Linked DNA regions of Yarrowia lipolytica. The protein of the gene in region 2 interacts with the protein of the main gene of each other region in a pairwise test. Links are inferred from orthologs where the notes say so. Each region holds a gene or a part of one and is shown on either strand. Other genes may lie near its edges.

What was found.
Region 1: the proteins of YALI1_E06882g (region 2) and YALI1_E32816g interact in binary tests that used the Saccharomyces cerevisiae proteins (3 or more experiments, as listed by UniProt). The link is inferred for Yarrowia lipolytica from reciprocal best matches to the Saccharomyces cerevisiae genes EBP2 and FPR3.
Region 3: the proteins of YALI1_E06882g (region 2) and YALI1_F17547g interact in binary tests that used the Saccharomyces cerevisiae proteins (3 or more experiments, as listed by UniProt). The link is inferred for Yarrowia lipolytica from reciprocal best matches to the Saccharomyces cerevisiae genes EBP2 and CGR1.
Region 4: the proteins of YALI1_E06882g (region 2) and YALI1_F08757g interact in binary tests that used the Saccharomyces cerevisiae proteins (3 or more experiments, as listed by UniProt). The link is inferred for Yarrowia lipolytica from reciprocal best matches to the Saccharomyces cerevisiae genes EBP2 and NOP12.

Annotation. Positions count from the first base shown.
Region 1 is NC_090774.1:3,278,147-3,285,548, forward strand, and holds YALI1_E32816g (uncharacterized protein), read right to left. Parts: upstream 3,455-7,402; coding exon 2,231-3,454; downstream 1-2,230. Other genes in the region: YALI1_E32776g (uncharacterized protein), read left to right, coding at 1-512; YALI1_E32792g (uncharacterized protein), read left to right, coding at 1,062-2,090; YALI1_E32842g (60S ribosomal protein eL6), read right to left, coding at 5,488-6,051. UniProt on the Saccharomyces cerevisiae protein: Proline isomerase that belongs to an abundant class of enzymes that catalyze the cis-trans isomerization of X-Pro peptide bonds and can accelerate the refolding of proline-containing polypeptides. Specifically binds nuclear localization sequences.
Region 2 is NC_090774.1:685,119-692,696, reverse strand, and holds YALI1_E06882g (uncharacterized protein), read right to left. Parts: upstream 4,415-7,578; coding exon 3,248-4,414; downstream 1-3,247. UniProt on the Saccharomyces cerevisiae protein: Required for the processing of the 27S pre-rRNA. Probably involved in the step of the processing of the 27 SA precursor into the 27 SB intermediate.
Region 3 is NC_090775.1:1,752,578-1,759,161, reverse strand, and holds YALI1_F17547g (uncharacterized protein), read left to right. Parts: upstream 1-4,384; coding exon 4,385-4,756; downstream 4,757-6,584. Other genes in the region: YALI1_F17603g (uncharacterized protein), read left to right, coding at 1-607; YALI1_F17581g (uncharacterized protein), read right to left, coding at 634-808, 863-981; YALI1_F17569g (uncharacterized protein), read right to left, coding at 1,369-2,169; YALI1_F17565g (uncharacterized protein), read right to left, coding at 2,321-2,444, 2,501-2,637; YALI1_F17549g (uncharacterized protein), read right to left, coding at 3,267-4,208; YALI1_F17522g (uncharacterized protein), read right to left, coding at 5,292-6,584. UniProt on the Saccharomyces cerevisiae protein: Involved in nucleolar integrity and required for processing of the pre-rRNA for the 60S ribosome subunit.
Region 4 is NC_090775.1:871,545-879,547, reverse strand, and holds YALI1_F08757g (uncharacterized protein), read right to left. Parts: upstream 3,842-8,003; coding exon 2,312-3,841; downstream 1-2,311. Other genes in the region: YALI1_F08784g (uncharacterized protein), read right to left, coding at 1-1,076; YALI1_F08745g (uncharacterized protein), read left to right, coding at 4,999-7,191; YALI1_F08705g (uncharacterized protein), read right to left, coding at 7,847-8,003.

The DNA.
Region 1 (7,402 bases), about 2.6 Mb from region 2:
TCATGGTCGCCGGTATGGCTTTTCAGGTCTTCACCATGTCAATTTTCTTTATCATGACCACTGACTTCTTGTGGCGAGTGCACAAGGGTATCCGTAACCCCAACGTCGCGGACTCTCGAGCCAATGACCCCGAAATCATTGCTATTCGAGAGTCGCCCAAGATGAAGTACTTTGTCATTGCTACATACATTGCCTTTGGCTTTGTCTTCACTCGGTCCGTCTACCGAGTCGTCGAGCTGGCTGAGGGCTGGTACGGCAATCTTCTTCAGCACGAGGCCTACCTGCTTGTGCTGGACGGTCTGATGATGCTCATTGCCATCACCATTCTGACCGTCTTCTACCCCGGCTTCGTCTGGGGCCGAACCCACATCAACGCCGGAGCTGTCAAGCATAGCAAGAGCGAAAAAAACGAGTTCCAGGACGTTCAGCAGGAACATTACCCCGAACAGCAAGAATACCCGGAACAGCGAGACGATGGGTCTTACGGAAAGGAGACCGAAAGCAGTGTTTAGAAGTCATATATAATGTATTATTTTGTTTTGAGCTACGAGAATCTAAGGCATGGGAGGCTACCCTAAGGCCCAGATGTTTGAGACATAGGACACTGAGACCAGACATTGTGAGACAGTACTAAATAGGTACTCGTGCAAGCACACATGCAAGTTCGAGACGGTACAATGTAGATACTTGTACGAGTACTCATTATGATGACACTCACAAGATGCTAGTATCCAGATCTAGACTGATGCACCCTCCGAAGCCGAATAAACAAGTTGACACTAGTAGCCAAGACTACAATAGTGCATGTAGCATCGTTGGATAGAGAAGAGTTCCTTGGGGAAGTGCTGTATTTATGAGTAAAACTAGGGATCGTATAACCATGACAAAATTACTGAGCAAATATCTCAAATCTGTCACCGACTCTCACTTTTCAAATTTATCGCCTTTAACGAACATGAACCCACATGTTTTTCCACCGAAATGCATCCTAACATACACTAAAACACAATGTCACAAGGACTTTTGCCAGACCTTTGGAAACCGCTCAAACAACTGAAAACATGCTTAACCACGATATTTGGACTCAGATTTTCTCTTTGGTCGACTTTCGCACCGCGCTGAACCTCAGATACTCGTGCAGAGAGCTCTTTCATCTGAGCAACGAACTGTCCGATGCAGTTTGGGCTCTATACCTGAAAGATATCGGGGGAGAGTTCTGTGAGAAGGCCAAAAACAGCGTCATTCGACTCAACAGACCTCTGGTTTTCACCACAGGACCTTTGACCAAGTGCAGTCAGAAGGCAGGTCCTCCTAGTCCGAAGGCTGGGTTCCTCAAACACCTCGTATACATACAAGGAGACGGTAAGATCGGGTATGTGGTGAACTATCGGGAATGGAGTGTTAAAGCGGTGGAAACTGAAGGAGGAACTGATACTACGTCCTGGTACTGTTTCTCTGAATTCAACAAGGAGTTTGAGTCCATCGCCCTAGAAGAAAACAGCGTGGTGTGGCAGAAACGACAGGGACCAGATTTGAGAGTCCAGATACCTATGAAATACCAAAACACAAGACACAAGCATCTCTTTAGAGCCTCGAATCCAAACCAGACCTTTGTCTATCTCCATAGATACTGGGAAGACTCAGAGGAAACAGACAAACAAGACTTTCTTAGTGACATACTGTTTGTGAACTGGAAGGAGAGGAGAATGAACTTGTTGGAAGGATGTATAACTATGGCTTCCGCCAACAGTGTCAATTGCGTCCTTATAAATGGACTGCTATTCTTCAAGGGACCTAACTACACTCTTCAAGTGAAGAACATGCTTACTGGAGAACATCATCAGGTGAGTCCCAATGGGGTGGAAATCGGTTACCATGATGATAGATACGTGTGCTACAACACTCTGGAAACAACACATGTGATAGATACACTCACTCTGTTAATCTACCCTCTGACTAATGTGCTATTCGACTTTCGCAGTGGAATTCAGCATATTGAAGGCCAGTTTATAAGCTGGTTGCACCCTGTAGTTGGTTCAGGCACCTTAAATCTCAAACCAGGCCAAGTCATGAACCTCAGTGACGTGTGACCGGGGTTAAGTACATTCACATCAACCTACATACAAGTATACTGCATACACCTTAACGTCTATATCAATAATACATTAAATACATACTTAACCAATATGTTTGTCTTGGCCAGTCGTTTGTGGGCTTGGAAGATAATCGCTTATTTGATGTTAACGACCTTAACATCGAAAGTAAGCTGGGAGTTGGGGGGGATACCGGGCAGCTTCTGCTTACCGTAGGCCATTCCAGGGGGGATAATGATTCGTCGCTCACCCTTGACCTTCATACCCTGGACACCAATGTCCCATCCTCGGATGACCTCGCCCTTACCGACAGAGAAGTAGAAAGGCTTACCCTTGGAGTTGGAGTCAAAGACCTTACCGTTGGCGAGCTTGCCAACGTATCGGACACCGACCTTGGAGCCGACCTTGGCGGAAGGACCCTCACCGACGGTTCGGTCCTCAATCTTGACACCACCCTCAAGCTGTCGGGTGACAAGCTTGGGCTTGGGCTCGGAGGGAGTGGGGCCCTGCTCGAGGTTCTTGGTGAAGGCAACCTTGGCCTTCTTGGCGGCCTTCTCCTGCTTCTTCTCCTCGGCGGCTCGCTTGAGGATCTTCTTAGGCTCGACAACGGGCTCTTCCTCCTCATCCTCATCGTCCTCATCGTCCTCGTCGTCCTGCTCCATGAGCTCGACAAGTCGCTCGTCACCGTTGATGACCTCATCCTCATCGGGAGAGAGATCGTACTCGCCTTCGTCGAGCTCGTCCTCATCATCCTCGTCGTCCTCACCGAGAGCAAGGAGCTCATCCTCGTCCTCCATGTCGTAGGGGTGCTCAATGTAGTTACCGGAGAGGTGGATGGCGTAGGAGCCAGTGACCTCGAACATGATCTGCTCACCGGGGGTGATAACGAGATCAAGAGTCTGCTGGTATCCAAACTTGGGGGAGAGAGTGCAGACAACAAAGTCCTCAATCTCACCCTCGTCGTCGTCGTCCTCATCGTCCTCCTCGAACTCCATCTCGTCGTCCTCGTCGTCATCCTCATCGTCGTCTCCTCCCTCAACCTCATCGAGACCGTCCTCGTTGGCGGCGATCAGCTTCTTGATCTGAGCCATGTCCTCAGCAGAGACTTCGTCATCCTCATCGTCGTCATCCTCGTCCTCGTCATCCTCGTCGTCCTCATCGTCGAAGTTGTCGGCAGGCTTAAGGATTCGGAGAGTGGCGGGCTCCTCCTCATCACCCTCAATTCGGGCGGGATCAATGGCAGCCATGGTGATTCGCACAGAAACAGGGAAGTCCTGCTCAATGGGGGCCACGGGAATTCCGGGGAACACGGCCAGGGTGTAGGAGGCCAGGGGAAGGCAGTTGTTGGCGTTGTTAGACATGGTTGTTGTGTGTGATAGATACAAAAGTGCAGACCCAAGTATTTAAAATGGGCAAATTTTTGGAATAAGGTTGCATATGCACTAAGAGCTTAACGGGAGTGCTGTACATTTGGCTGGAGCTCGTGGAAGACGGTGAAACCGTTATTGTGGCAATGGTGGGATCTATCGAGGTAATTGGTAGGACACATGCACCAACATACGTGTATATGACATGTAGAACCGTCCACTGCTGTTAGGCGATATGTCGTCTTTCGCAGCCCATCAAGGCACTCTCAAACCCAATCCATGGAAAATAAACGTGGGACTATTTGGACTTGGGACTTGGTGCTTGCAATCGTTGTTGGTTGTGTCGTCACGTAACATTTATAGCAACTTAGGGACATCTGGCAGAGAAGGCTGCTTGGTCCAGTAGTGTGGTAGCCTTGAATTGGTCATGTGAGATTGTGATTGGTCTGCATTGGTCGCCCCCATCTCGAGCAATGGCTTTTTTCGTTCCCATGGAACTCTTTGGAACAGCAACACCATACACATTATTCATGTAAGGCGTGCAGGATAAGGTGGCGGCGAGGTGAGGCAGAGATGGGAATGGATATTTGTCACATGTATAGGGGTTGGACTATGGCGGGTCACTATAGAATGTGTAACTGTACTTCTTCTCAGTCCATATAGCCATTTTTGGTCTTGTTACTCTTTTTTCCATCTCATTTCACCCCCAATACTTGCTGCTTTGTTGGCAGGCACCACACGGACATTGGGCGGCTGCTTTAAGTGAAACACCAACTGAGCCTTAACTAAAGACGACGGTTTTTTCACAAATCGTGGCCCACCAAAACTGGCTCCATGGACTGTATATAAAGCTGCACAGTGAAAAAAACAAAAAACGCACTCCACATAGACGATGCACTGATGACGTCGTACTGTAGATGAGGAGATACATGTTGACATGTTGTAGCAGAAGATGTGGTAGAGGTCCAGTTGGTGGCAAACACCCAGGTGGCGACTCAATTAATGCCATGGTGACAGAGGGGCTGTAATTGGTGTTCATTCTGGTGAGATACATTCCGCAGTGTAGCCACCAGAAGCTACGGGTCATGATAGGCGGTTGTACATTTGTAGGAAGAGTGTCCAAGTTGAGAGAGAGTGGTATCGCGAATGGACACCTACCGTACATGCTGTGTGAACAGCAACTGGCACCAATATGTCTGAGAGGTAAAGACGAGGGGAGCTATCTTAAGTCATCTACCAGGTCAGAGGAAACTTGCGAGTTTAGAAGGTCATTGTTTTATCAAGCCTAGTCCAGTATGACAGTTGTCTAAAAGTAGCATTTACAGTAACAAGGTCTGGACAGGTTGGTAATACAAAAAAAAGTGCAAAGAACACCAGTTTCCAATACTTCGACTCTTACTACTCGTGCCAGAAGAGCCATCATTGTTCTACTTGTAGGTAACTACAAGCAACATCCTCCCACACCCCAGAGCCACTAATGGATGCCCGCTTCACAACGGAACAACAGCGACCAGAGATGCATGGCAGTAGCAGTCTGAACAGCATGGAATGTATTTACAGAGAGAGACCGCAGCAACAAGCTACAAGTACAATGGTTCTTCACAGAAGACCGTTTGTCAAGTGAGTGATTACGTACAAGTGGCTTCCATGGTCTGAGTCGAACTCGGGACGTAAATATCGGTGAGTACATGTAAACACAGGTTCTAATACAGCACATCACCGCTAGTCAGCGCTGTTCAGCACAACGCCATCACCACAGGCAAGCATTTTGTGGAACAATTTATAAAATGCGGTTTACAAGTAAGAGCTACAGATACCAGTGCCTTTTTTTGGTTCTACGTGTGCACGCAGTCGTATATATACGCTCCTACTTTTGACTCCCACTTGTGGCTACGAGTACAAATAGTCGCTTCGCGCCTACTTGTAAGTAAAATTCAAATTGCATTGCTATACAGCTTTTGACAGACGACGGCTTCACCACCGTCCACCATTTTCCACCCCCATGTTCCATTTTGTGTTTTTATAATTTAAAACTTGAGCAGGTGGGGCTTGTCACCAGACTTGAGAGAGAACTGGGAAGCCAGGTACTGCTTGAGAAGAGGAGTCTTCTTGATCTCGGCAATGAGAGCAGCATCGACGTCCTTCTGGTCGGCGACTCGCTCGGCCTTGAGCTCCTTCTGCTTGCCCTCGGCGAAGAACTGCTTCTCGGCCTTCTTGTCGGCGGAAGATCGAGCGAAGTAGGCAGGGGTGAACTTGTCAGCCTTGACACCGGAGACATCGACCTTAGTGGAGGTGGCAATGACGTATCGGGCGTTGACTCGTCGGAGAGGGACACCGTTGACCTTGAAGGGACCGGTCACAAGGAGAGTGCCATCCTCAAGAGACTTGAGGAGAACAACTCGCTTGCCTCGGAATCGGCCGGCAAGGAGAATGAGTACGGCACCGGGAACAAGAGAAGGTCGCAGCTTGGACTTGTTCTGGACGGTGGGGATCTTGACGTGAGTGGGCTCAGCGACGTACCACTTGGGGGCCTTCTCAGTGGGGACGGTTCGGCTACCGCCGTTCTTGGCTCCTCCGATCTGCTTGGACATTTTTGATGTTTAGGGTGTTGAGGTGAGTGGAAAATGAGAGCGGTGAAAATCCACTATACCTGACGGCGGCCGATGCTCCGGAGCTGCATGAAAAAAGAGTGTACATCTGGGAATGGGAATGTGTGACTGCCTTTTGGCTTAATTGGGAAATTCACGTGACAGTTGGGAGGAAACAGAGCCAAAGTCACACCCTAACCCAGGGTTGGGAGGTACGAGAGGTTGCCTGTTTGGGACAGACCACTCAGATGAGGAAACAGTCCTAACCCTATTTAACCGAACAGGCACGGTTTGATTAGTAACGATTAGGGGATATACAGTGCTCTTTTCGCTTTTCCTGAGTGTCTTTTTGGAGCTCAAATGGCCTTCTCACAGCTGCTACTAAATTAAAGTTCACCAATCTCAGGAGTTAGAGTGGTTATGCAGCGTGATAGAGACCCTTCTGTGGGACACGATGCGCCATGCGACATAACGTGAGCTGCAGTTGGTGTTGCGGAGTACGCGGTTGGTTGCTGTGGCTCGGGAGGGCGTTGGGACGTCACGTGTATCAATATATGGTTGATATTGCAGTACGAGTACAAGTAGTCACCTGTAAAATGTCTATTAGGGCTGAGTGGTTATTAGTTAGAATTGGTTGAGTAACTAGCTAACATTAGTTGGATTTTACTTGTGCATTAGCGTGATTCTGTATTGTACTGTTTTTTTTTCTCCTTCTTTTTACAGTACATGAAATCCGTTCTTCTGTAACAGTAAGGAAAGAAGTTACTCATACTGTACTCATACAGTAGGGTTAGTTGCTGTCCAAGAACACGCGAGTATCCTCAGATGCTACTGTACATGTTGTATAGGAACTCCTTATGGGCACTGTCTAGGCTACACAACCATTCGAATCTATGCATATGCCACCATCGAGATCTACAGTACAAATACCGTACACTAATGGGTAAGGGAAGGCACTCCACACCCGAAGCCGACTGCTCGTAGTTGTACTGATACTCGCACTGGAACTAATGCAGAAAAAAATAATATATACCGCTTCTGTTTAAAACAATGGGTAGGGTTTGCCCGTTGCCGTTGGGTGACGGAGATCTCTCTGATGGTGATATACTAAGAAAAGCAGCCCAGCCTTGTCGCGCGGTTATTGAGACACAGCGCGTCTTTTGGGTCGGCGTACTGTCGCCGAAACCAAATGGGATTGGCTAGTATCTGGAGCAGATATCGTTCTTGGCGTAGGTTGTGAGAGTGTCAAGCGGCTGATTGATAAGGGTGTAATATTATAGGTGACATGTGAATGATATGTTGACACAATTACAATAAGCACCGAATGAACATGTACTTGTAATACAAGTACTTC
Region 2 (7,578 bases):
AGAGCACCCAGCATGAGGGCCGTATATGTCAAAGCAGCACCCTGCATCGACCCCGCAGACAAGCGACCTGGTTGGAAAACAAAAAGTCAAGTAAACGACCACCCCTGTAGCTATGAGAACGTGACCATGGTTGAAGAAAAGGATAGAGTTCCTTGTTACATGAATCGTATACTTCTGCATCTGACGGTTTGGGCACATTCCAGGCCATCTGGTGAAACTAGAGTCTTACCAAATGTCTGATGACGGGAAGCTCTGCTAAATCCGCGGGTTGAAGATGACCAACCGTGGAGTTCTTGTCGAAACCAAAGTCATGGGCCGAAATCGTGGGCCTGAATAGAAACAAAAAGCAACGACTATAGAGTCTAGAGTCTATAGAACCTGGAGAATACAAGTAGTCAAGCAATTTGATGCCCAGGCAACGGGACACTCAAAGTCTTCTATTCATTATCGACATATAGACTCTCTCCTTGTCGTCCAGCTATAGGTCTTGGTTACAAGGGAGGAAAACTCAAGCGGTCTTTGTTTCGTGGATACTTGCAAGTGCTGTTGCTTTTTCAAGCAGCCACCACCTAAGTCTAGTCAAGGGTCATCCTTTAGAGAATCATCACACCACCTCAAACTTCCATATCTGAAGCAAAGAAGGAATAAGCGAAACAGCTCATGGGCTTCCCGGCGTTCTAGTCCTTGTTCGGGTGTCTCCGAGTCTCGCTAAGCAGCTGAATTGAGGTTACAGGGTCCATTCGAAGTGCCTTGGAAGTTGGCCAACTTCCATGCGACTCCAACACATAAAAATGTGTTTGGGACGTTAAATTTGAGTAGTTTGTAAGACCTCGGAGGTTGTGAGAAGTCAGTTTCATTGTGTGCCTTTCATAAACAATCATACAACTTGTGAGCTATGGCAGCTCTGCTATTCATCGGGGCCGGTGGTTTGTTCCCAGCTATTACGATCTGTTGACGATACATCCCCGCCAAAGCAGCCATCAATCCCCAAGGAGAATAAACAAGCGACTTCTGCAGAGTGCCTTCTCCGCTGCCTTCCCGTCTTCTAAACCTGTTCTTTCGCCCCTGGCAGCAGCAATTGCGTCCAATAATAGAACATGACCTACGTTTGTACCTGACCTTTACGCTTTGGTTATACGACTGTCAACCCGCTAAGGCGGCTGAGTTGGGGAAAACAAGTTGAACAACTCCATCTACTCTTGAGTGCACTAAACTTGCCTATGCTCAAATCCAATCATTCAATGTCTCTTTCGTTTCTTTTTCTCTTGTTGAAGGTCCAGGGTTCAGTCTGTGAGCAAGAGGATCGGTGGAGAGCAAACGACTTTACAGTATTCAGCTTTTCGCAGAAAAAAACGATTCAATTCAACAATCGGAGTTAGCTTCTCGAGTGTTTGAAGGAACCGGGGCCTGTCTATTGTACGTATCCTGTAGCGCACACTTTACCCGCGCAACCTCATAGTCGACCCTTGTGAGTTGTATTCGCTGCTCCAGAGATGTGACACATTCTCTTGGCTATCTCACATGTTCCAGTTCAACAAAAGAGACCGCTGAGAAGAGCAACCAACTTGACAGGTGGTCTGCTTTTTGCCAATATTGCATACCAACCATCGTTTGGATGCAGCATCGTATACAATGGTTGACCTTTACGAACTGGCTTGCTGCACAGGGGAGTGACACACTGTTGGTTGTTCAATGAGCGCTTATGGTCAGTATGTTACTTGTCAAACTTGGGGTTCACTCACTGGACACTTTTGAACGCCACACCCTGCGCCTATGAAAAATGAGTTGCGGGAGCTAAGTGACTGACATATACGTAGGTACGGTTGTATAAAAGGTACAAGTATAAATATAACGAGATGATGCTGGGATGGATCTGAACCAGAAAAGGGCCGAAATTCCGGCATACTAAAAATTCGGGTAAATTTTTAGACCTGGCTGCTCTTCTCTGCAGCTTCTGTCAGGCCATTTCGACTAATGAGGGTGATAATTTTCTGTCTGCGCAACCAAGAATCGAACTGACACCTTTGTCGTGTCTGCAGGACTGCAAGGGTGTCAACTCTAACCGAAGTAACATCACTCGGCTTTAAGTACACGCCACGCGAGATCAGAAGAGATCGGCGAAAAATACCTTCCGGAAGATCCGACTGGAACCTCATTCTACTTTCATCTCGAACAGCTACAGCAACAAATCCGCACATAGAACTCCACGAGTGTTTTACCTTAATGAGACTCTAACCCACCCTGATATGGTAACAACTGTACCTTTGTGCACTATTTCCCCTCCTGAAGTTATAGACCATTTTAATAGGCTCCCCGCAATAACCCATGAAAAAGTGTAAAAGCTAGTAATAAAAGGAAAAAAAAAAAAAAGAGATAAAGGGAGAGACCTGGATCGTTTCGTCGGTCTCAAGTTCTTATTCAAGTGTGAGATAAATGAGATGGGTGTGAGATAAGTAAGACCAATGAGGTAAGTGTGAGATCGGTGTTGTAAGGTGTGAGACGATACAACTCGATTTGGTGGGCGAAAGCTCTCAATCGGGACAGCCTTTCGTGACACATCACCATAGTGACCAGGGTTCACTAGATCAATTGAATTTGGGTATGAACGGCTCTGCTGGATGACATTGACCTTGAGAACAACGGTCCGAAGGGTTGCTGTGTTGAGTTCAGGCCTGCAAAGAGAACAATGCCGTTACCCGTTTGAATTGGTCCGAGTCTACCTGGTGCTCTGGTGCGTGGCCTGTGTTATCCAGCACAAGTCGTTAGGTGGGCAAAAGGTTGGTCATGGTGCAAAGTGTCAGTCAAAAGCATGACTCTATGTCTATTGTCGGTGTCAGGGCTTGAGCCACAGCTGAGTCACATCTCCATCACTGTATCACATTGGAGTCAGATTACACTGTGAAACATTGCAGTATGTTCTAGTACAAGATGTACTTGTATGTTGACATGTTGACTTAGTAATACGTACACATACACAAATGGACCCCACCTCATTATACCGGTACTTGTACTTGTACTTGTAGCTTAAGTTATACCCCTTCAATGTAGATCACACACTGGGTACTTGTGCTCGTACTCGCTATTGTACCCTATCAAATCATCTTCGCTATCTCGTCGCTACAGTATTTACGTTTTCAACCTCATCTAGCTTTGCAGATCTACAGTGGGTATGCTACTCGTACACGTGTAATAAGTTCAACATTCAATCTATTACCTCTGAATAATCAGTTCCTTTTACCTTCCTGTTCTAACCCCGGTTTCGTCGACTCTTGCCGGGTCTCGACTGCTGACGCTTCTTAACAGGAGCGTTATTTCTCTTCTGGTTGAAGCCCGACAGGTCGCCCGAGCTCTCGGAGGTGTTGGCCTTTCGGAATCGCTTCTTGCCACCGAATCCAAATTTGGCATCCTTGGCCTGTCTCTTGTGGTTCTTGCCCTCAATATTATGGTTGTCGGCAGCCGCCTCCTCGACGGCAATGTCAAACTCCTCGGAGGTCATCTCCTGGCCAGCTCGTTTTCGCTTCAAGGACTTGATCTTTTCCAGAGTCTCCTTCTTGTCCTTGGCTCGCTCCTGCAGCTTGTTGTGCTGCACCTTCTTACCAAACTTCTTGAGGTCTCGCTGTCGTCGTGCCTCCTCGGAAGCCTTCTTGGAGGTGGCTTCCTCGATCAGCTTCTGCTTGAGCTTCTCCATGTGTTCGTCGGACTTGACCATCTCGGCAAAGTAGTCCAGAGGTCGGGTAAACGGAACCTTGGCCTTGAGCAGCTCCTTTCGAGCCACCTTGGCAGCATCCAGACCCTGCTTGTAGAACGCCAGCTCCTTCTCCATGTCGTCGTAGATGTCCTTGAGCTCGATGGCTCCAGACGTATGCACAAGGGTGTCGACAAAGGTCATTTTGGCGTAGGGCAACGAGATTCGAGCCTTGGCCTGCATCAGGGCAGGCTTGTTGTTCTTGGTCACCTTCTGGTAGGGGATGGCGTCGTTGTCGGAATCGAGCTCCACATCAGACAGGGGAATGTCCTCCACCTCGTTCTCGACATTCTCAATCTCGGATTCGGACTCGGACAGATCGAGACGGGTGGTGTCGTAAAGCTGGGGAACCTCATCATCGTCTTCCTCATCATCGTCCTCCTCGGCAGCAGCAGCAGCAGCAGCAAGCTTCTTCATCTTTCGAGCCTCCTTTCGAGACAGAACAGGAGTCTTGTCCTCGTCCTCCTCGTCCTCCTCGTCCTCCTCGTCTTCCTCTTCATCATCTTCGTCCTCCTCATCATCTCCATCGTCCTCGTGCGCAATCTGCTGCTTGGCAACTACTGCCAGGTCCTTGGGCTTGGGAAGAACGCCCTTTTTGGCAGTCAGCTTGGCGGCCTTGTCGTTGGCCTTAGCGGCCTTGAGAGAATCCTTCAACTTGGGGGCTCCCATTGTGTGTTCGTGTGTGTGTGTGTGGTGGGTGGGAAATAAGACTATGCACGGGAGGAATTTTTTTGGAAAACCAGAAACTTTTCAGATAGAGTTTGGAGCTGAGAAGGCACAGGATTAACTGGTTCTTGTTCTTAAGAGATTCTTAAGGGAGAAAACATTTGAAATGTAACGAATTACTGGTTGCAATTATTGATATGAAATGTTTAATATTATTTTTACTGTATTTTTATTAGAATAGCAAGTACATTTGTTTTCAATTATTCTTCGCCTCCAAGTAGCGCCTGCCCGTTGAACTTAATGCACCTTGATAAAAACTTGAGCCATGATTTAGAGATGATTAAGCGGGGGGTTTTATTTCTCAAATTAACGGGAGAAATTGGAAAATATTTGAAAAAAATACATAGCGATAAATTAATAAGTGGTGAAGTTGAAAATAGATCAAAGAGCCCTGCCAAGAAGTCACACCAGGTAAATCAATACTGTAATACGAGCTTTAACCAGCTAGACGCATCTGTTGAACACCGACGATACAAATGATTCTGATCGGAGAAGCTGGTGATGAATTATTACATACATGGGCACTGATGTAGGATGGAGGTCAACAGTTGATTCAGGTAGAGTTGACCTTGATAGGTCCCGCAAAAAAGATCAACTTGAATACAAAGAGATCACTACTTGTAGATAAGATCGTAGTTTCCAGAAGATGGCAAGATGGAATGCACCACTCAGCAAATAACTTCTCTGTAGCTGCAGTGCCGCAAGCATCTACCCACTCACACAAGTAACAAACTCTTCAGCAGCCGTAAAGACTCAATTTGCCGTCTATCTCGTCTTATTAGGTTAGAATTATCATCGAGTACCAAGCCCTGTGTCTTGTAATGTCGATGGCCGTTTGCGCCTTATGGCGGCCCGAAAAAAGAAATACCATCAAAGAGGGAATTTGTGAGTGATTTTTCTTGAATATGATGAACTGAGGGAGTGCATATAGTTGGGGCAAAGGCTGGCAACGATGATTTCAGGAAGACTGGCTTACAGTATGTAGCAGGGAACGTAAACTAGTGGGGTCTCAATGTGGAGTCCAGATATCGATTCGGCAGCCCCGTTCAATCATAAATAATAGATTCACCTTGTTTCCGTACCTTTTCCACGGCAAGACACCGTGATACAATTGTGCTCTATCTAACGATCGTACTGAACTGCAAAACTGGTACATACTGTACGTATGCACCATGCCTGTCACCATATTGGCAGATATTGAGTCTGGGTTTGCAAAAAGGAAATAGACAAGAATATGGGGGTGCTGAAAAAGCGTGGCAAAAGCACCTTATCAGCTTTACGAGAAAAGCACTTACCCAGTGCAAACAGAGTGCAGACAGAGTGCAATCAGAGAGTGTTTTGCTGCAAAAAAGTACCTCTGCTGACAAAACCAACAATAGAGGCATTGTATGTACAGAACCGACACCAATTAATGGCCACAGTGATACTAATACCACTTGTAGCACTCACTGCTCGTATAGAACTGGTAGCGCCATCCAGTATCGTACGATATATTCCTATCATATGGATCTGAAGCTATTATCGTGCAGTGCCGTTATATTTAGCAGGATTCAGCAGCCTAAAAAGCAAGCATAGACACCCCTGATACCCCTGTGCAACTCTGAACAACCAGACCACACACTAAGATGGACCGGTGCTTTTTGTGAAAAATCCAAATCGTCTCCGCTACACTCTGTTTTTCAAACGCAGATAGGCTCTCGGTTGCACGCAAGGTGTACATGGCCACATGGAATATGCTTGTATATCTGTTCGTTTGTCTGACTAAAGTTACAGGGGTGTGTGGAGTTGGACCCGAGTGTATTTTCTTTCACGTGTGAAACAGTGTGTGTTTAGCATTTGTTGGAGTTTGGGGGAAACAGAGTCCATAGTGAGAGAAGCCATTTTGGACCATGACACTAAACGTGTTTAATTAGTAATATTCGTGTAAGCGTACATTCATTTCAAAGGTTATTCTTTCACAGCAAAGTTATAATTAAATGAATGTTTATGCAGAAAAAAAAAAAAAAAAAAAAGCCATTGTTTGTGCCTTGTTTGCGACTTGTTTGCGACTTGTTTGCGCCTTCTGGTTGCTGTGTGTGTCCATGGTTGCGGTCCCCAGTTGCTGTGGTCGAAGAGAGCGCGGAACCAGACGAGGGGGAGCTGAGACACCCGCTTTACATTCCCAATAACGTACGCTAGGATTCCACCACCATGCACTCCACTTGAAATCGTACATTTCAGCGCATGAGGTGGGTCCTGTATGCATCTACAGGGGTGTTGAGGGGCGTCTGGAGTTGAGTGAAGCACGTGACACGATGGACTCTAACGAGTGTTTTTCTCCGAGTAAAAGCCGATTTGACAGTTCGTTCTAACCAATACAATTGCGGGTATGTGCTCAACTGCTACACCCAAGTATATACTTTGCGATGTCAAGTATAGAACAAGAGCACTTGTACGAGTTGAGGTAGGTCTGCCACAGTGGTTTGCGTGTACAAACAAGGCACTAGCGCGCATGGGACCCACTGCCAGTGTACAAGTGAAAGTGCATACTGTACTGTACTTGTTTGTATGTACAATATTTTACTCATAAAAATGCGGTACATACAACCACCGGTCCTCCCACTTGTACATACTGTACTACTGTAATGTGCTGCAGGCAGGACTTTGAGTCGTACATTTTTATGTTTCAGCTTGATTCCAGAAGTTTCGCTCTGCACTGTCGCAGTATTAATTCGCGTGTCTCCCTGCATGGCCCTGTAGAGTGGGCGACAGCTGTCACGCTAGAAACGGAAGCCTTTGACACAGAAAAGGAAATGGCTGCTACTTGTAGATAACATTTGACGTAAAATCTGACGTAATATTCCAGATATTCCAGATATTATTCGACCGCATATTAACCGCTTTCGTTTGGCCGAGGTTGGGGTGGTGGGCTGCTGAAATTCCAAAATCAGGCGAAATTCAACCGCATTTGAAACACTTGACGTATTGTTGTCGTGAAGGGGGAGGTAGAACATGGAGGGGGCAAAAGGGGTGGGTCAGAATGTACTGGTAAGGTGGAGAGGGTGATTTTGCCGCCATACAGTGTGTACGGCTCGATACAGCATTGTAGTTGATACTCGTACCGAAGC
Region 3 (6,584 bases), on a different chromosome or scaffold from region 2:
TACAGCTCTTCCTGCACCCATCCAGAAGATCCCCCTGGCCCCTCTCGACTCAGCCCCTTCTCAGTCGTTTGCAGAAATGTATCTTAAGGGCATCGAGTTTGAAAATGCTCGTCTTCCAAAGGTGAAGCGAAACAAGGCTTCTCGTCTACGCGAAGACCACGCCACTGCAGTTGCCGTTCTTGCCTGTCTGCAGCTTCCTAAGGCTGTCGCTGCCATTGAGCGGCTTTTGGAAAACACATCCGAGGGTCTAGCAGGCAGTCATTGCGTCATTAAGCCTTCTTCCATCAAGACGCTCGAGCAGCGACACAAAAAGTGTGTGGGCGAAGTGCGACACATCTTTAAGGTGCGCAAGGAGCGGGCTCGAAAGAAGCGACGGAAGGCTATTCTTCCCGAAATTCCTTCAGATGAGGATGTGTTTGATTCTGACGACGATATGAAGGGCGGAATATGTGGCGGGGAAGCTGTTCGTGGGACTACGACGATTACCAAGGATGGCTTTGCGTACTCTACACACGGGTCTCTACAGTGGAATTCTGGATTGCCTGCCGACTACGGCGAGAAGTTTGAGACTCGAGGCAAGGCTTTCCGGGCAGCCAGCTTGTGGTGATTTCGAACGATTTCGACAGTATTTATTCAATAAGTGACTGAGATGGCAATACGTGGTTGGAAGCACAGACGCAGTTGATGACTGGGGGCATTGCAAAGCTGATTAGTCATTTGGACGGTGGTGGTTGGCTGAGGGATTTGTAAGCCAAAGGGGAGTGTACTGTATATGTGCGGCTTTACCTGTAGCTGGGTCTCTAAAAGCCTGGATTATACGACATTCCAGATACAAGAAGTGAGGCTCCTGAGACTGTCTCACCTGGTTTGTTGGATCAACCGGACTAGAGGAGCCCAACAATAGCAAGGTTGTCGATTGTCTTTGGAGTAGGAGCTGATCAAAGGGGGTCCAGACTGCCCTGTAAACGTTGGAAAAAACATACGCTGGGTTGAAATACGTGGGTTTGTGGCGTTTTATAAATGCAGTACAAACAATGGAGTCATATGGGCTCTGTATTATATTCTGTTATGATACCAGACAAGTTATACATATCCGAGTGTATAAATGTGAGGACGGACGACGGGATTAGTTATGATTTTGTCTCACTTGTTAAGGTTGGTGTTTAATTCAGTTAAGAAAATTGCGGGGGTACTATAAGTGAGACAGCATAAACGGGCAATACGAAGCAATATCGAATGGTCACACACACGCATTTATATATATAAAAGCGCCTGATGAAATCTAATGATAGGGAAGCATTACTTTTATTAATGGTCAGACAAGTAGTCACTGTAGAGATTGCGTTACATTAAATAAACCTGTTGCTATCACTGGTGGGCTCCAGGCATCATCACAGCCTTGGGGATCAGCCACTTGTAGGTGGACTGTGGAGAAGCCACACCTGCGTATCCGTTCCAGCATCCAAGTAGACCTGTAGAGATACAGAAGCCTCCTCCAGCGTTGGTGAGCTTGGAGTTGCTCTGGAAGTAGCCTGCAGCCAGGAAGATGAGGGCCAGGTCGAGGGAGATGAAGAGCAGGAAGAAGGCCACTGTTGCTTTTAACGTGCACAGCGTCATGAGGAAGGCAAAGATGAACCAGCCCATGAGGAAGATGCCCACGGACTGTGCAAACTCGTCTGGAGTGGAGTAGTACTTCTCGATACCAATGGGGAAGTTGAGCATGGACCAGGAGAACCAGAAGGCGCCGAAACAGAAGAAGACGGTTGCGGCAAACGTGTTCTCGGCCACAATCTCCCAGATACCAGCAATGACTTCGATAAGACCTCCTCCGAAGAAGGCACAACCAACCATGACATTGGGGGCATGGACATTACGAGCATTGACAAGACACATGCCGAGAATGAACATGGTCATGGAGAAGGCAAACAGTCCAGAAGGAGCAGCGTTACCAAACTGACGAGTGGGAACGGGTGCAGAACCAGGGTTAAGAGTACCACCAAAGGCACGGGCAAAGTCGTCTCGGTGGTACTTGACCCCGCCAATGTGGATGTATTCATCTCGTTCTCCCGAAGTACGGACCCGTCCCAGCACAACAGGCTCGTCCTGGTGGCTAGAAGGAGTCTCGATATCTTGTGGGTGGGAGGTATGGGGTTTCAGATCGTCTGACATTGATGATTGTTGGCTGATGAGGAGATTAGAGGACCCAAAACGCCATTTTATATATCAACGAGAAGAGTAGTAGAAGCAACGAAGGCCGAATGTGGGGTAAAAGGGAAAATGTACCCCTCGGTCAGCTTTGTCTCAGCGATATAAAAACGGTTCATACCTGGTCAGCCGTGTTGGTGGAGGATTCTGTTATGGGTGGATAAACGAGTTTCTTTGTCTGGAAAACTCGCTCCAACTTGCCAAAATGAATAACAAAGTCGGTTGATGAATTCCTATCCCTTCATCAGACCACTATCGCTAGTCCTGACGCTTCGAAGTGTGACCCCCAATTTACTCGGCATAAGATTGAGATAGTAGGAGCGTAAATTGAGTGTAGTGCTGCTCGCTTAAGCTGGGATGCGTCTGGCGGGGTAAAACTTTAGCGGTCTGAATGATGATAGAAAAAAGGGATAAATCATAGGTAGAGGGCATCAAAAGTTCTGAGAATGTGTATTCCTTGGACCACTGACCCCCAAGTTATAGCTCCTCTTGGCGAGATGGGCACTAGTTGGTTCGCCGTAGTCTGTCTGGTATAACTGACGCACTAGCACAGGTGTGCTAGCAGAGAAAAAGCAACCAATTGTGCAACGTTAGTCGTAGATAACCACTATAGATCAACGTGGTAGTGCATTCTGTAGCTTTAGAGACAGTTCCAGCCCGGCAATTACCTCCTTTGGCGTGTTTGTCTGGACACTTTTAACGGGTGGGGTTGTGTTAATTGTTCTCATCGAGGGGTCTCAGATCGGCACATCATCGGGGCAGGTCAAGATTTAGAACTGAATCCCAACTAAGGTGTCCTTTCAACCCAAACAGATGGCGGGGCATGGCCCGGAGATAGTGGTGATGTATGCAGGAGTGCATAGATCCGGTGGTTGTTTTATGTTGTGATGTTGAAAGAGATAGGTCCGAGCAACAGAGGGTCCCGTGAAACAAGATGCAAATGAAACGCGCAAACGAGATGAACCGACAAACGCGCAGGCGTAAATCGACAAGCCACCCCTGGCAGGCCTATTACGTCATTGTACCAGCGATTGCTGTGATCATTTCGTCGCACAGTTCTGTCACTCCTCAATATGAGACATGTAATAAGTGATAGAGCCGCTGGTGTCTCCGGGGTGGTCCGTGTAACAATAAGCTGTCAGCACTCTTTCGTGGCTGATGGCTAGAACCACACTGTCGCAAATTAGGGCCATGTTGGTGAGTAAACACCAATCTTTGCAAGGAATAGACACGGTGGCAAACTCGGAGCTGTTCGGCTTTGCACGGCTTTCCCCAGTGAAGTTTTGTGAGAAGCGAATCTGTGACGAATGGGGACCCGATCCCTGAGATGGTAGACTCTGTTCTTCCTCCTGTTCACCTGCGTCTAGCTGCGGGTTCATTAGCCCCTTCCAGTCCGTCTCCACGTTGACATCGACCGCGTCCAAAGACAGTTTTAAGCACCCCGAGTTATTGGCACTTAATGTTACGAGCTTGCCCAACCGCTTGTATCGCTCACTGAGCTTGGCGATGTTCAGCGTAGGTTTTGGTAGCATGATGTATACCTGTGGCTGGATTTCAGGCTGAACCAGCAGGTAGCTCTCCTCCTCTAGTTTCCGTGGATCCACCGGAAGATTGTGTGTCACCACCGTGGGTCCTCTTTCTCGATGCTGTGTGATTCGCACTTGTAGTTGCAACAGACCCTGGTACTGACGTAAGCTGAGCCGTACCTCGTCCATGTGATACGAACTAGAGCTTTTGAGGGCCCGGGCAAAGTCGTCCAGACTCACCAAAAACACACACATGTCGTCAAACGCACTGACACAAACGTACTGGTTGGGATCACACAGGTAGTCGACGGTGAAGTAGGCGAACAGCGAGATGGTGGTGCCGTCATTGGAGGCTGGCGATACGATTCGCACATCCGTCGGGGCGAAGATGATGTATGCCTCCTTGCGGACGGCCATTGCTGCGTTTAAAACATCTCTCAGCAGCGAGATTCGGTCCAGTTTGACCCTCAGTTTCATTTAGTCGCGTGATGGTTGAGATTTCGTTACAGTGGCACACGAATCATGCACTGTACTTTTAAGGTTCAAGATATTTTTTGACCCTAACCCTCAAAATTCAGGCGCAGATTATGCAGAGAAAAAATATTTGTGCCCTACACATCATACACACACCCACGCACGCACACGGAAGAAAAATGTCTGAGCAAGAAGAAGTGCAGTTGCCCAAGCTCGGAAAGGCACCTCAGGTGCGAGTCAACGGCAAGAACTGGAAGGAGACCAAGACCCCGTTCCGAACCTCGAGCCTCAGTGTGCCCCTGAAACATAGATCGTGGGAACGACGGCAAAAGGAGCGGGAAAACCTGCGAATGATCAAGGCTAAAGAGAAGGAAATGAAGGACGAAAAGGAGGCTGAGCATGCCGAGAAGGTGCGACGAATCAAGGAGCGCCGAATGGCCAAGGAGGAGAAGGAGCGACTGGAGAAGATGACTGCCATTCTGTCGGCCAAGAAGCTGGCTCGACGAAAGCGGAAGGAGAAGCGAAACAAGCTGCTCCGAGAGCGAAACTAAGCCATAGTTATTTATTTTGAAAAATAGACACTCTGTTATTTGTCTGGTTTGGAGAGTATTGAAGTGCAGTACATACTGTACCCGTGAGGGAACGAGTTCAGATGAAACTTCCGCTTGTAGTACTGGAATTCAAGCAGCGATATACTGGTATCTTGTACTTGTGTGTATAAGTATCAAGAGTGATCTCTGCTTCTTGTATAACCGCTTGCTACTGTGAGCTCAACATGGAACTGCTACGGAAGCAACTACAACTACAGTACATACAGTACGAGTACTTGTACGTTGGTATAACCATTGAATGTATTCCTCACTGCTCCTAGATGACAAACTACAGCCAATCGTTCAATTTCATCGCAGTGACTGAATCACTATCTATTAATCAGGCAACATTATACAATGTCTGTCTATTCTCTGTGCTGAACCATATAATCCTCAGCTACTTTAGAGGACTCTTGTCCTCCTCCGATTTTGGTGGAGCGGGGCTGACCTGGGCAGTCTCATGCGCACTACCAGATTCTCCCTCGCTCCCGTAATCTCATAGATGATACAGGATCGAACCGCACGTGTGGTTGATCTGTGGAACAAACGTGTCCAGAGGAACGGGGGGAGCTGGGGGATTCTGATTGGATGCCAAATGGAACACATCCTGATGCTGGGGGTGGCGAGGATGTGCTGAACTGTTGAGATGGAACACTTCAACTGACGATCCATAGACACACATGATTCGGTCGCTCTGAATGTATTGCATAGCCAAAGGCTCGACTCCTGCCCTTGTAAGAACTTGACGTGGTGGCATACTGACAGGAAGACGCACCTGGTCCTCGACTATACCCCTGAGGGGAATAATTGATATCCTCTGTCTGTAGTACACGGCCATGGCTGTGGAGTCCCAGGAGAGACAGTACTTGATGGATTTGAAGTCTTCCCTCGAGTTGACATTACTAATGTACAGCAGGGCTCTTTGATCGTCATCCTCCTCATCTTCCGACAGCTCCTCTTCCGGCGAGCCCGTCACTCCCAGTTCAGCGGTAGCTAATGCAAAACGGGCGCGATTTTCGTCCGGTAGGTGCTTGACACAAATGTAGCGACCAGGAGTAAGTAATGCAAGCACTCCATCGCAACTGAGACTTGTGCTCATGCTTGTTTCCATAAGCGTGCAGTAGTATTCCCACAGAGCACCTTCTTCAGTAAAATCTTCCTCGTCCAGAGTATCTGCCTGTCCGAAGATGAGAGCCTCCTGGTTTCCAATCAGTGTCATGACCTGGTCACGGGCCTGGGCCGACATTCGGAGATCTAGACGGAAATGTGGCACGTCAATCTCGTTTGTGGTCTCAACATTGATTATTGTGAGTCCACCCAGACGCCTGGCTCTGACCCACATGATGAAGGCCTTCTGAGACACGGCCAGATACTCGATCCGGGACGGAAACTGTTTCGAGTACTTGGCCGGCACGTTGGCCAGGTTAATGATGCCGCCTCTGTACTTGGACAGCAGTTCCTCCATGCAATATAACCGCACTCTTCCGAACCCAAACACCACGGCCATGTATTCATTATCGGTGGAGAAGGTGACCAGCGGAATTTCTTCCTCCGTTTTCCAGCCAAACAGGTAGAGCGGCGGGATGTTGTTGCAAAACTTTTCGCTTCCGATCGAATAGACAAAAATATATTTCCCCAGCGAGACACACAGCAGAGAGCCGTCTGGAGAAGACCAGCTCGACGCAAACGTATCTCTGCAGTCCGGCGACAGCCTCAGGTGGATCTTGAGGGTCATCTGACGAGCAACCCATTTCTGCCGCAGCAAGTTAAGATAGGTGGAGTATAGTGG
Region 4 (8,003 bases), on a different chromosome or scaffold from region 2:
TAGGTGATGGGACGGCCTCCAGAAATGTTCTGAAGCCGGTCAACGGTATACAACTGCTTGTAGTCGTTTCGAGGGTCGTTGATGAGGGAAAAGTACTGCGAGGCGGGGTGCTTGAGATTGTCTCTGTAGAACTTGATGGGGGTGGTGGTGACCTGCTGGGGCTTGCCATCAATGGTCCAGTAGTCCCACTTGAAGGTCTCGTTAGCAGCAGGAGGCACTCCCAGAGAAGTAGCAAGAATGTTGTACACGTTCTGGGTGTATTGTCGTCGCAGGGAGAGTAGCAGCTCAGGGGTAGGTTTTTCGGTCTGGATGAGCTTTCGGAGAGCCAGACCGTACTCTCTCAGCTTGTTAGTAAGCAAGTAGTTGAGATGGCCGGAGTTCTGGGCGTTCCATGAGTCGGGGAACACGTCCTGAGGCACCAGACCATACTTCTCTACCAGATTGACAACCATATCCCACTGTCCTCCGTCGTTGACAGGAGCCTTGAGTAGTTCCTGGACCAGTCGAGAGTCGAGATCTTCGTCGGCGGTGTCGATGATCTGCTCCAGGAAATACGACGCCTTCTCCAGCTTGTCGTAAAAGAAGAGATACGCCTGGGAGAACTGGAAGTCCTTGGGCTTAATGGCTGACGACTTGATGAGCTGGACTCGGAACACGTTGGTGGAGGCAAACAGCCAGCATCTTCCTGAAGAGCGCTGGTTGGTCACGGGGGTGTCTTTCTGGCCGTCGTACTTGATCACGTGAGTGAACACAGCAGGGTTCTGGTCATTGTATCTGTCGTCTTGGATCAGCAACGACTGGTAGTCACTTCTGGACAGAGCTGCGAGAGCCAGACGGTTCTTGGGAGAGTCCAGGAAGTTGGCTCGCCACTCAGACAGCAGGTTGGCAATGTCTTTCTCGTTGTTGTCTCCATTGAGATCCAGACCGTCAATATCCGGCAGGGATTGTAGCTGAGGAAGAGTGGCCAAGTCGGGAGTGGCGGTGTCAGGATAAAAGTGCTTTTCAGACACCTTGGACAGCCGGGTTAGCGACTTTTGCGCGTCCGATTGGGCTTGTTTGGAGGGAGAGGAGCCCATGATATGAAGAGGAAGAAAAAGAAGAAGGGCAAACTATTTGGTGGTCGCCAAAGTCGGACCCTACGCTATATATAAACAACAGACGCGAGACCTTTGTGGTTACACGGCACTCTTTTTTTAGGTTGCAAAGGGTGGGGATTGCGTTATCGGTGCAAGTCGTGTGATATGGAAGGGGAGAAGAGAAGGGTCGTGATGAGGCCGTTTAGTCCCATTTTGGGGGCCAAATAAAAGCGGAGTTGTATTTCACAGCCCCAAAAGACCCCCCAATCTCTTCTAAAATTGCTCTCACATTCATTGAACCCCTTTTTTTTCAGACTGATTGATCCTCACACTTCGCACTGTGGCTGTGTGGATGCACGCGGTTATCTTACAGCGTGCTATTTTTAAGCACGGACTCCGAACTCCGGAAATTACAAACTCCTCCTGAGGTGGGTCCCGGATGGAGCGGATGAGCTGCGGGAACCCGGCGTTGTCACGTGACACGGGAATGATATAGCGCGGGTGTGTCACGTGATGAGCCTCGCCCCAAGAACTTATACTTGTATTTGTACTTGTACCCAGTCAATGGTTCTTTCTGGTCTCATTGTGATGGTCTTGTTCGCCACCAAAATCTTACCCACAAGATCTACAGTTCGACTACCAGTACAAGTACAGCATGGACATACCGTTATTCAGTTACATCGGATATACGGAAGGGGTATATGGCACGTGATTTCGTGGAGGGTGGCAGGCGGTGGAAGTCATGTGATTTATGGTATCTCTTGAGGCGTATACGATGAAAGTACTGTACTTGTATGAACCATGGATATGGGTGGCTTTCATGCTGATTTTTCCAGTAACAATAATGTCCTTGTAGTTGATAATTTACTTGACAATTACTTGATAATCTCAACGTTCCAGGTAGTGGTTAATTCGAGGGAGAGATAAAGTAGGACTCTGAAACAGGAAAGAAACCTTTCTAATCTTGAACATGGACCTGCCCGTACTCGGACGACTCTTCATCTCCCGTTATTGCGTCCTCTAGCATCCAAGCTGAGATTCATGGTGTTGTTGGAAGAGATGACCATTATGATGAGAATTACATGGTGATTCTATTACAAACTCCCCCATCACCACATCTGTAAACCCCACACTCTTATATAACTCTTCAACTGCTACCCTACTGCCACCCTACTCCCCAATACAATACAATAATCTAATGCCTATTTATTTTCACCTATACAACCTCTACCCAATTAGTTCTTCTTGGAACCCTTCTTGGAGCCATCCCTCTCCTTCTTGGGGCCATCCTTCTTGGCGTCTCCGTCCTTTTTGACACCTCCATCCTGCTTGAACTTCTGGGATCGGGTTGTAAGACGCTTCTTCTTGCCGCCAGCTCCGGGAGCGCCGTTGGTGGGGGTTCCAAACATGGCCTTTCGCTTCTCGGCTCTGGACTGGCCAGGCTTCTCGACTCGGTTCTTGTTGGGCTTGACTCCTCGTCGCTTGCTTCGGGCCAGGTTGACCTTGCCGTCCTCTTTCTTAGCCCGCAGACCCTCCTGTACAATGGACTGTAGCTGAGCCTTGCCGGCCTTGCCTAGCCGCGACTGGGCCCGGCCAAAGTGCGACTTTTCGTCTCGGGACAGGCCTTCGGTCTTTGCGTTTCGAATGTTCTTCATGTCGGCCTGCTTGGCCCGTTCCTGGGAGTGTTGGCTCTTGGCCCGCGACACACGCAGCTTGCGCTTGTTAGTGGTGGACTTGGAGAGCTCGTTGATGCCCTTACCGTTGAGCAGCAGAGCCTGCTCAACCGAGTTGACGTCCTTGAACTGCACGTATGCAAACCCCTTGCCAACGTTGGTCTTGGGGTCCCGCACAATTCGCACGTACTCCACATCACCGCAAGACGAAAAGGCCTCCCAAAGGGATTCCTCCTGCTCCTCAAAGTCCAGAGCTCCCACAAACACGCACCGCTTGTGATCCTGGGCGCCGGGATGGGCCACGGAGTCGACTCGCATGTGGAAGCCCTTGAAAACCGAGCCGTTGAGCGTCAGAGCGCCCTTGACGGACTTGACGTTCTTGAACACAATGTAAGCGTTGACCGTGTCTCGCTTGGAGTGGAACTGCTGGGAAATGAAAGCCACCTTTCGAGGAAGCAGCTTGGAGAAGGAGATGGACCGGAACCGCACAGACGCCACGGTTCCAATGGCCGCAAACAGAGCCTTGAAGTTGTTGTACACGGTCTTGTCGGTGATCACCTCGGACGACACGTTGCCGACAAAAATGGTGTAGTCGGCCTTGTCCAGCTCCTTGTTGGTGGCCTCCAGCTTCTTCTTGGTCTCTTCGTCCACGTCCAGCTCGGGTTCGTCCTCAGAATCGGATTCGGGCTCATCGACTTTGATTTCCTCCGCGGAGGTCTCTGCGACCATGGGCTTCTCCTCGGCCACCTCCTCGGCCAACTTGGCCATGTACTGATCCTCCAAGTCGGCCGACTCCTCCTTGGACTTTTTGTTCTTCTTGCTCTTCTTGATAACAGGCTCTTCGATCTCCTCTTCGTCGTCGTCGTCGTCGTCGTCCTCCTCCTTCTCCTCCTCATCCTCCTCATCCTCCTCATCCTCCTCTTCGTCCTCTTCGTCCTCCTCTTCATCCTCCTCTTCATCCTCTACTTCCATCTTATCCTCTTGCTGGTCACGCACCGGGTCGACCTTGCCAGCGCGCTGAGGCTTCTGACGAGGACCACTGGAGTTGGCAAAGAGCGCGGCGAGTCCGGAGTTGTCTTTTGTGGTGGTCATTGTCGCTGGATGGTCAAATGATTGAGCTCACTTGTTCTGTTCAAACTCTTGCCAAAAAAAATTCAAACTTTGCATGAGACATGTACACCATATAAAGGTTGTGTGGGAGGCGTCCAGTGTAATAGTACAACTAGCCCTCTCTCGATTTACGGCTAGAATAAAAGAGAGCCGGTCGCCAGTTTGGCCAAGGGACCCAGGCGTCTCAGTTGTATCCCCACTATATTCGTTAGCAAGGCTCAAGGAGGTCATAATCTGACACAAATAGCAATACTCATAACCTATGCATCTCCTCCTCTAAACACGATCCAACCCAAGCCATCAATCATCAACCTCCGGTGCCAGCTTTCGACAACCTCAGCCTTGACGCGTTTCTTAACCACAGTCCTGACTCACTTCTCCACCACCCTCTGACACGCGCCGCTGTCCCGTCAACCAATGAGTGGCTCTGCATACATACGACGGCAGTGGGGGCACGGCTGCCAGGGGGGGCTGAGGGGCGATTATATGAAGATTGGCTGGACGGAACGGCGCCAAATTTCGACACCGACGAGCGACGGTCGATTGGAGTCCATGGTGGCTTTCCGGCGATCATCTGACGTCGATTATCCCCTGGGATGTGGTGGGAGGCATGGTTGGGTATGATCGTGTGTGTAAATGGGAGCAAGGTAGGGCGTGGATTTGGCGGGGGATGATGGTTGTATTTTAAGGGGAGAAAAAAAGAAGGAAAAAAAGGGAAAAAAAAAGAAGACGATTGCAGGGACTCCATACGGTGGTGATGAGAGGGGAGGAGACGACAAAAAGCCGGTCAATCGAGTTGTCAGAACCACCAGACAGCCCTTCTGGGAACCTGGTTGGCCCAGCATGTGCACTATTCGCCCTCTGTCGACTCTCTCTCCCATAACGTGCTCCTCTCCGCACGTCTTGTATGCGCACCAAACTTAGCTGGGTTTGGTGCATGGTGGAAAAGACTTGCGTTGTTATCAACAGTAAAAAACATAGTCGGCAGCTCCACTACACTACTCTCTCTCTTCTCACTCACTCACTACCACACGACACCCGAGCGACGACGGTGACCGAGAAAAGAACGACAGGTCACGTGTTAGCTCTCTACAAGACCCGGAAGCGAGCACGCCGCTAACCCGACACCGACCCAATTGATGACCGCCAACGACGACGACATGGTCACGTCTCCGCTATCCGAGCTCGACTCCGAGGCCATGCTGGACCTGCAGCAGCACGATGAGGACGAAGCCAAGGAGCTGAAGGATGACGTGGCAGAGGACCACGACACAGGCACAAACGGAGACACACACACACCAACTGACAAGAAGACCCGTTCTTCTCCGTCTCCATCGACAGGAGCAACCGCAACCTCGGCCACGGCTACGGCCACAGCCCCACCTACAGCTACAGACACACAATCGGCGGGCGACAAGGGCTCCGTGACGCATCCCGAGCACGCCGACTCGGGTATTGCCACGGTCGCGAGCATTGTCTCCACAGACGACATGCCGCTGCCCACGTCCAACGGCAGAAAAGCAAGTCTGCTCAACCCCGCGGACCTCAGCGACGACTCGTCCGAGCTCTCGGAACTCGAGGACTCCGAGGCCGAAACCGAACGGCTCTATCTCAACGATCTGGTCGACGAAGAGGAAGAGTCGTTCAAGCGCCGGCGCGAATCGTCGTCGGAAGACCACATCCGGCAGATGAAGCGTGAACGCGATGAGGAGGATGACAGAGATATTAAGCGGGCCAAAGTTAATGGTCAAACCGACGAAAATGATGACATTGGAGAAGAAGACACAACGGCCCGAATGGATGTGGATACCACAGCCAAGGCAGAAGGAGAAGGTGGAGATGTGGGTCCTGACACCGGGCTCATCACTGCCAGTGCCATTGCCTCGGCTCTCGAGGAAGTACCGCCTCCCTTGCCCGTGCCTGTTGAGGACATCAAGCCTGAGGTGAATCATATCTCTGAGAAGGAAGGAGAGGCTGTGGATGAGTCTAAGGAGGCCGAGGCCAAGGAGGGGCTCAAGGAATCAGAAACGGCTGATGTCGACAATAAGGACGCCAACGAAACCAAGGATATGCCTACGCCCATCAACCAGACTGAGCCCTCCGACAATGAACACGAGGAAGATAAAGAGGAGGAGGTGACCAAGGAGGACAAGGACAAGGAGGAGAATGAAGACGAAGACGAAGACGAAGACGAAGACGAAGACGAGGAAAAGGAGGTGGAAGACGAGGGCGACGAGGAAGGCGAAGGCGACGACAATGACAAGGAAGACTCTCCCGCAGACGCAGACAAGGTCGACATGCGGCCTGCGGCCATGACGTCTCTCGCCGAGATCGAGGTCGATTTCGCCAAGCTCCGCGACTTTATGTTCAAGGAGAAGCTGGCGGCGTTTGAGGTGGAAATGGGGCTCTGTGTCAAGGGCACACATCCCGAGCTGCATGCGGTCTACGAGCAGATCTCCAAGATGCGTGACGACAAGATCAAACTGGCCAAGACGCGTCGCAAATACAAGCTGCAGTGCATCAACAACCAGACACGTGCGTCGCGTGTGCAGATTCACCAGCAGTTTCTCAAGGATCAGGGTGACGCCCGAAGCGGCTTGTTGCTCAAGACGACCGAAGAGTGGTATAGAGTCAACCGGGAGAGACGGGCCATGGATCTCATGGTTCCCGACTACGGCTACACTATCCCTGAAAGCAAGAGCGAGCAGATTCATCAGCGGAACGCTCAGGTGAACGAGATTTCGCTCTTGTCTGGAATATCCAAGTACGTTGGTTTCCCTGCTGCGCCTGTGATTTCTCAGGCAACGGAGGACGAGACCAACGAGGATCTGACGGCTCTGGGGCTCCAGCGGCCTCCTGTTCCTCATGCAGCCTTCCCCGTGCCTCCGGGAATCATGCAACCTATGGGTGTGCAACCTGCGCCTCTTCAACAGGTGCCACAGCAACAGCCTCCGCCTCCACAGACTGCCCAGCAGCAGGTTCACCAGCAGACTCCACAGCAACAGCACCAACCTCCCCCACCACCTCCACAGCAGCAGCAGCAGCAGCAGCATCAGCATCAGCCCACGCCGCCTCCCATGGGTCAACACAGACTCAACGGACACGAGCAGCAACACATGCCTCTGCCACTAGGCGCGCCTCTCATGATGCAGCATCCCATGTACCATCAGGGACCGCCAATATACGGAGGGTACCAGTACCCTGCTGTGCCGTATTACCAGGGTGGCAATCTTCTGCCTCCGCCGCAGACCATGTACGGACATCCTCAGATGTATGGGCAGGTGTTGCCACCGCCGTATATGTATCAGAAGAGGGAGGAGGAGCACGAGTGACGAGGCGTCGCCCAATTGCTACTAGCTACAGCGCACAAGAGATCTCATTTGATCTTACTGTCGCGATGTTCCAATCAATGCTAAGAAAGGCATACTAATGTGGTTCAGGAGTGGTTCAAGAGTGGTTCAAGAGTGGTTCAAGACCATGTCTCATACTCACAGCAACAGTGCTACAGTCGTTTCTACAGTTAGACGGCAGACTCATAATTTATTGTAATATATGGTGTATTATATGGCAGCAAGCTGTACTGAAGCGAGAGCCACCAGTACGAATACCGTACGAGTACCGGTACTTGTAGCGTATAGCATTTATACTAACATCTCGAGATGCACCATATCAGCGATACCTCAGCATATTAGTAAGACAATACTTCGATATCATTATACCACTGTGATCTCCAGACTCGGCGTACGATTCACCAATTGGTTCATAGCAGGTTCACAGCACTCATAGGTTTCCTACATATCTGGCCTACATCCATCCTGTGAAAGGAGACATTCGTCTGGATACGATACGACAATTCTACAAGTTCGTGTACCGGTACAGTTGCCATCATTGCTCGCTCCGCTCACATGTTATAAATATCACATTCTAGTCTATATTACACACTCTATAGTGTTGAAAACAGAGTGGGGATGGGTTAGCACCAGTCGCTTACTGAGAAGCGGCAGACTGAAGAGCCTGCTCAACATCCTTGAGCAGATCCTCCTTGTCCTCGATTCCAACAGACAGTCGGACGAGGTTGTCAAAGACACCGGAGGCCTCTCGGGCCTTGACGTCGATGCCGGCGTGGGTCATGGCGGCGGGGACC